Drosophila melanogaster: one gene and its partner. The protein of the gene in region 2 purifies or fractionates together with the protein of the main gene of each other region. This does not show direct contact. Each region holds a gene or a part of one and is shown on either strand. Other genes may lie near its edges.

Region 1 (4,140 bases), on a different chromosome or scaffold from region 2:
TATAATATAGTTGAATCGATTGTTTGACGTAATAAGTTATATATAATTTGAATTGTACATTTTGAGTGCGGTCAAGAGATCCTCACAGAATTTAGCAGTAAGTTATTTACATCAGCGTGCACTCCTAGCTCTAAGTTTAAAACCTAAAATGACTCACAAACAAGCATAGGCATAAGGCAAACCATTAAATATATACCATTTAGATATAATTGACCACATTTGTTCTGCAAAACACTTGAGTATAATATTTATTTATTGAAAAAGCAATCACAAGACATTGGGCTGGAAGAAAAAAAAAACAAAAAAGTCTGGGAGCTGCGTTGTTCGTTTGACTTGTCTGATATTTCCGCAGGCTGATATGGAATTCTGGGCATGGATTTTGAGACACTGCGTCATGGACATTCGATGATGGATTTGTGAATTATGTACGTTGCACGGCTTAATCACAACTCCCACTGGGTACAAACTACAAACTAGACGATTGAAGAGATATCAAACAATACGTAACATGAAACATAAATATGCTTAGACTAACCTTTAAGTTACCAAAGCAGTACGTTACGAACAGAACCTTTTTGTTTCGAATTACATTTAGTCGCAATATTAATGTAAGCTATTAATAAGAACCAATTTTAGTTAAATTATTTGAAAATCTTTGATTTAGTTATAAAAATCTAACATTTTAATTTGAAAATCAGAGTTTTAAAATAACGAATTAAACATTTAGACGAAGAGACGTACATACTTTTTTTTTTTAATTGTTGTCTTAAATTGGTTATGCTTTGTGACACATTGTTCGCACGAACGGACTACTTTGGAGGACAAAGGGGGTACATATGGGCTCTACCTCAAAGGTTGATAAATACTTCTTTCACCTTAAAACTAATTGCACACATTATCTAATTGCACTTTTCGCCGGACAGCTAAAGACTACAGAACAAAATATTAAACTAATGGATGAAAATTGTAGCGGAGATTCACGATTCAAATTGTTTCAGTGCGAGGATCGATCTTGTGTATAGCCTGCATGAGGCTCTCGGTGTTCGCCGTGTTGATGCCCTGCTTGGACATGTCAGTCAGTCGGTCGGTGATTGGCTTTTGGTCCTGGCCGCGCTGCCACCTGAAAGGATGAGATATTCAGATTAGCCTTTTTCTTAATGCGGAAAGATTCGATTGGACTCACCACAGATGGGCGCAGGTGTGAAGCAGGGGAATGTAGAGCGGCAGCAGATCAATATCGCACAACGTCTCGAAGCGACTCAGTGCCAGCAGGGCCCACCTCTCGGCCGCGTGATGAGGCACTGGGGATGAGGTGCAGGCAGCCACTAGACGGCAGAGTATCAAAAGCACCGGCCTCGATCGATTCATGTATATCTTGTTCAGCAAGCGGAAACAGTTCTCCAGAATAGGTATGGCCATTTCGTTACGCCGCTCATCCAGAAACTGGCACGCCCTGGTCAGTTCGTCGTGCTGCAGGAAGCGCAGGAAGTACTCCGAGTCCCGGAGCATCGCCTGGCTTGCCACATACGTGAGGAATGCCTCGAAGGCTGCACTCCGTTCGCCGATCAGCTCGGACTTGAAGTTACCCATCAGGACCTTGGCTGGGAAGTACTTGTTGGCCATCTCCGCCGGATGCTGCCGCTTAAGGCCCAGATAAAGCTCCCGAAAGTCGGTGTATCGGCGCTCAATCTTTGCCGGCTGAGTGTCCTCCGTGGCTCCATCCTGCTTAACAGTGAGCTCATAGACCACGAACCGCTTGATCTTCACATCCTCGCCATCGGGCGGCATTATGTGGGCCAGCAAGATGTCAAAGCGGAGCACGGTGCTCCCATCCGTGGTCGGCTTATACTCAGCACTTGTGGCTCGCTCCCAGACACCTAAGAAGATACAGACAATATTCGCCTTAGAGATTATCCACTGTACCTACATATTTTGCGAGTGTGAGATAATGGTTACACAAACCTTTTTGGAGCGCCTTATCGGATTCGGGAGGGGGAATGTCGAGGGCCGCCGCCTCGATGGCTGGACTGTCCAGCTCATCCGGACCGGGTGGATCCCCATCGAAGGTAGGCTGGTGGTGCAGGCGCTTGGCCATCACGGCGTGAACTGGGGTAAAAGAAAAAACGAAACCAAATGAACGACGAACTGCTAATTGGAGGTTTCACTGTGCTCACTGGGCATACGGGTTCTATGAATCTCTTTGTGATTTCTCGCTGGGCTGCTGTTTTCGATCCGCAGCTGGGCACTTGCAATTCGCTTCTGGTTTACGGCGGATTATGCGGTTGGCATAGTTGTTGAGTCAATTTACAGTGACTAATTCCGCCCCAAACAAAAACATTGCAAGTGGGACGGAGGCCTTTGTTTTGTGCGTGTGAATCCCGCATAGGCGGCCTCTGTAACACCCTACGCGGGTATGGCTCTTAGGGAACATTTAGAATAACTATATTCTAAATTTTTGAATAATATTAAATATTTCTATAAATTGTATAATGATTTAGTAGGCTACAATTTTTATGAGCTCTAATACATATCGTGTACTTTAGCAACAAGTTATTTTTGAATTAACAGACTTTATATAGTAGGGTATGAAGACATTAGTGCTCTGCAGTCTGGCAGCTTTCAAAAATGTATCTTCAAAAGCGGTCCTAATATACCCTTTCTGTAGTTCAGTAGATATTACTTTTAAAGGCTGGATTTGGTTTTTATATACAAATTAAAGCAAAGGATAGGTAATTAGGCAATTAAGTTAAGATTAAAAGATTCCCATTTGTTTGGATAATTCTCGCAGTTTAAATAATTTGTATACTTTTGCGTGACGCACAAGCTAATGTACTCATCTGTGTAGGGTATGTACACTACTAAAACGTACAGTGTGGCAGCCCGAATGGCACTGCAAAAGTCTGGCAACTCTATGCGAGTCTCTGCTTCCTCTTCCCAAGTAAACCAAAACACCCACAGAGCAAAAGAAAAAACAGTAATAATACAAAGACAAGATGACGTTGCCCGAGTTCTTTGGCTGCACCTTCATCGCCTTCGGACCGCCCTTCGCCTTGTTCGTCTTCACCATCGCCAATGATCCAGTGCGGATCATCATTCTGATTGCGGCGGCATTCTTCTGGCTGCTTTCCCTGCTGATCTCTTCCCTGTGGTATGCCCTGATTCCGCTGAAGGAGTTCCTGGCATTTGGCGTGGTCTTCTCGGTGTGCTTCCAGGAAGCCTTCCGGTACATCATCTACCGGATACTGCGCAGCACGGAGCAGGGATTGCACGCCGTGGCGGAGGACACGCGAGTGACGGACAACAAGCACATCCTGGCCTATGTCTCCGGCTTGGGATTCGGCATTATATCCGGGATGTTTGCACTGGTCAATGTGCTGGCTGATATGGTGAGTGCAGCAAAGGTGCGTAATGTGCTCCGAGCAATGACAGATCTTTTGGTTTTTAGAGTGGTCCCGGCACCATGGGCTTGAAGGGCGGAACTGAGCTATTCTTCGTCACCTCGGCTGCCCAGGCGTTGTCGATTATCCTGCTGCACACCTTCTGGAGCGTTATTTTCTTCAACGCATTCGACACAAACAACTATATCCACATAGGCTATGTGGTTTTCAGCCACCTGTTCGTCTCCCTGATAACTCTGCTCAATGCCAATGAGCTTTACACGACCACTCTGCTGATAAACTACTTGGTCACCATACTTACGGGAGTCCTGGCCTTCCGGGTGGCTGGAGGAACATCTCGCAGTTTCAGAAAATTCATAACATGCCAGTAAACATACTCCTAGTATTAACCGCCTAGTTAATAGCTTTTGTATAACATTATAAAAAAAAACAAATTACCTTGTATATGCTCGATTAGTTACGCATTCTATGGACTTAAATCCCTTTACTAAATGGATTTCTTGAAAGAATGAGAATGCATTAAGATCCCAAGGTCTTTCGCAATAAATTCCCAAAACACAGATCTTAAGATACATTATTTTTAATGAGAAAAAAACTACTACAATGCATGCCATTATCTACTGACTATAGTCCACTTTCCTAACATTAATACCGTAGTCGGCCAAAGCCGGCTGCAGATCCTCCATGGTCAAGGTGAACTTGCGGTCCTTGGCCTTCGATCCTCCCGGTGTATTGGTGGTTT
Region 2 (3,318 bases):
CAGGAGCTGCAGCGTGAAATGGCCGAGACTACGGAGCAAACCGATCGCGTCACCGCCGAGTTGCAGCAATTGCGCCAGCACAGCCTCACCGTTGAGTCTCAGGATACTTGCGAAATTTGCGAGATGATGCTGCTGGTTAAGCCCTTTTTCATCTTCATCTGCGGCCACAAGTTCCACAGCGATTGCCTGGAGAAGCACGTTGTGCCCTTGCTCACCAAGGAGCAATGTCGGCGCCTCGGCACTCTAAAGCAGCAACTGGAGGCGGAGGTGCAAACGCAGGCGCAACCGCAGTCAGGTGCCCTGAGCAAACAGCAGGCGATGGAGCTGCAGCGGAAGAGGGCGGCACTGAAAACCGAGATCGAGGATATTCTTGCTGCGGATTGCCTATTCTGCGGGCTGCTAATCAGCACCATCGACCAGCCGTTCGTTGACGACTGGGAGCAGGTGAATGTCGAGTGGGAGTAGTTCGCTACCACCGTCGTTCAGACCCAAATATTTATGTACATATAAAGTATTTATTATTATAAATAAACCTACACTGATCACAAAGGTTTCGACTGAGATAGCCGTCCAAATTCTACAGTTACCTGGCCATCGCCCACTTGCCCGCAGAGCAGGTCAGTCCACAATCTGCATGCGCAACTCGTTGGTCACGAATGACATGACAGTGTTAAGCACAGCCTGCTGAATGGAGGCGTTCTGGACAATCAGCGGCAGCAGCATCACCACGTCGGTGGGATGTATGTCGGCCACGGCCATGGTTACGTGCTGCACCAGCTGCTCTCGCTGTGCGTCCGTCAGGTCGTTTAGGATGACTTCGCCCAGCGGACGGAATGTGCCTGTTCGGGAGGAGGGAAGTGGAAATGTAGTGAGACTGAGTACGGGAGTTCTCCTCCGCTTACCGCTTGTCATCTTGTAGGCGGCGATTCCGCCGGCGGCCCCGCCAACCGCCAGCCCAACGGGGCCCAGGAGCATGCCACCCGCAAAGGAGCAGGCGGCGCAGATTGCCGCTCCCTTGCCGGACTGCTTGACGGCGACGCGGACGTTGCGCTCGTCCGCTACGATGGCTATCGCCTCCATCAACTCGCGCGTATCTATGGGCATATTTAGGCTACGTGGAGTTGGCCCGAATTTCGCAACGCTATGCTAGTATTTCCTGTTTAGACTTTGTTCCGTGCGGCAGTATGACGTTTCCGATTACGCCACCCGTTCCGTTTGTATCCTGCCTTTTAGTGTTGGTCTTGAATTCTCCAACTTGCTACTCGACAACATAAACAATTTCACGGAATCCGCTTGAAGGGAACTATTAAAAAGCTTATATTTGACTTAAAAAACAGCAACTTGATTAAACTTGTGAGCGCCAGATTCAGAGATGCGCAAACGGCGGTCACAATCGACGTTTATATCGATATATGGCCTTAACCCTTATGTGTTAACCCATTCCTGTTATGGGTCATACATTAAATTTCTTATATTAATCCTATAGGTTATTACTGTCCTGTTGCTAAGTTAAAGATGAACAATAAATTAAATATATATGTGTTTATTATATAAATTGATTCAACGGATTACGTTTGCCAACTATCGAATCGCAGTGCAAACGATGTCACTGTATCGATAAGTCGATTGCCCGCGGCGAACAGAGCATTTAACATCAGACTTAACAGCGAGTGCTCTGCTGCGCTGCGCGCACTTAACATTTGCATTTTGTTTTGTTCGTAGTTTATCAATTCGAGTCGAGATACTTTTGTGTTTCACCTACGTATCACACCCGACCGATTCTTCCCATGCACGGATCTGTGGCAGATCACCTGGCGGACCGAACGAGCCTGCAGAACCGCCCAGAAAGTAGCTCCTCTCCGCTGGGACTGGGATGTGCGCAAAGCATTTAAATTGTGAACACTTCCGTATGATTGCGATTCCTCGGATGTGGATGACCGCTCCGTTCCCGCGCCACCTAGTCGAGGAGTAAACCTGCCAGGGAGCACCTAGTGGAATTCATTTCGGAGGCGACATGCTCGCGTACACCCACGTAAGTCCAATGCGCATGCAGCTCTGCTAGTGTATGGGTGTACCTGTAGCAGGAGGGGTAGGGGTATGGACATGGGCATGCCGATACTGATATTGTGTTTATAATCTCGAAAGCACTCTAAATTGCTCCGAGGGAGGGGTGCTGCTAGTGAGGTTATACTACCCATGGCTCTATATTTTATACCACACCCAGTTATTATACTCATACAGCATAGGTATTTCTCATATTGTAGTTGTGAAAAGAAGCGCATTTGCCTTGAAATCAGAGGCCATCTTTAGTTAATCCTCGTATCCTCACACGCTATGGAACATTTAAGCCAAAAAGGAAATGTTTTCCATACCAAACCTATTATTGGCCTATGGTAATACCAAACTGTTATGCTGTTTTGACCAGCCAAAGATCTGGAAATAGCCCCCTTCCACTTCCACTCCATGCCGAAGCCGACAATTTGCCACCAACCGACACCGACCCGCCCACAATTGCTGCCTAACACAATTAATCTTTTTATTGCCCTTTTATCACATACGATTCGTTAATTAATTGCCGAATTAGCATGGCAGTGTTGTTGGCAGTTGGCCCGCAAGACGCTAAATCGAGTGGGCAAACAATTAGAAACCAGTTGGATACCGAAGACCCTCCCGACTCCCAGAGCCGCAGGCCCAGCAACTTATGCGTACAGGGTGTGCCTCACTTACCCTAATTACGGCAATTGGAGGACGAGCCAGGCCAAGCCCTCGTCGGTCTAATTCGATTTGCAAACAAACGCGTCTGGTGTAGCAAATATTTGCATATGTATGTCCAACGTGCGACACGGCGTTTTTCCCATTTCCCCACTCGATTCGCTTTAACGCGCCCTTTGATTGTCGTTGTCGTTGCAGGGCACATGGCTCCTGCTCCTGCTGCTCCTTGTAGCAGGCGCATGCGCGCGGCCAGAAATAGCACACACACCGGATCCGGCTGCACTAGGCGAGGAGTCTACTCCACATGCACACGCACATCCACAGGCTCGCCATCATCACCATGCCCATCCCCATGCGCCGCTGAAGGAAGATGAGCAGGGAACAGCAATACCTGCTCCCATCCTAACAACTGATAACGTGGGCATTGGGGAAACCACGACGGCATCAAGTTTGGCCGAGACGCAAAGCATGTCCGATCCGGGATCTGTGACAGACACAACATCCACAAGCACATCGCACTCCACCTCGACCACGTCGACCACTTCGCCCGCACCCCTTCCGCCGGCTGCTCCCGAACAGCCCGAGTATCTGAAGCACTGCTTCTAT

The links.
Region 1: the proteins of CG3740 (region 2) and Snx21 purify together in Drosophila melanogaster (affinity purification with mass spectrometry, with the first as the bait; one large-scale study listed by BioGRID). This does not show direct contact.

What each region holds. Positions count from the first base shown.
Region 1 is NT_033779.5:2,763,322-2,767,461, forward strand, and holds Snx21 (sorting nexin 21), read right to left. Parts: upstream 2,345-4,140; 5' UTR 2,182-2,344; coding exon 2,175-2,181; intron 2,107-2,174; coding exon 1,963-2,106; intron 1,878-1,962; coding exon 1,184-1,877; intron 1,121-1,183; coding exon 985-1,120; 3' UTR 757-984; downstream 1-756. Other genes in the region: aph-1 (anterior pharynx defective 1), read left to right, coding at 2,994-3,386, 3,446-3,769; Taf10b (TBP-associated factor 10b), read right to left, coding at 4,016-4,140.
Region 2 is NC_004354.4:1,667,906-1,671,223, forward strand, and holds CG3740 (uncharacterized protein), read right to left. Parts: upstream 1,393-3,318; 5' UTR 1,105-1,392; coding exon 903-1,104; intron 884-902; exon of another isoform or gene 840-883; coding exon 619-839; 3' UTR 501-618; downstream 1-500. Other genes in the region: dor (deep orange), read left to right, coding at 1-465; hfw (halfway), read left to right, coding at 2,015-2,032, 2,911-3,318.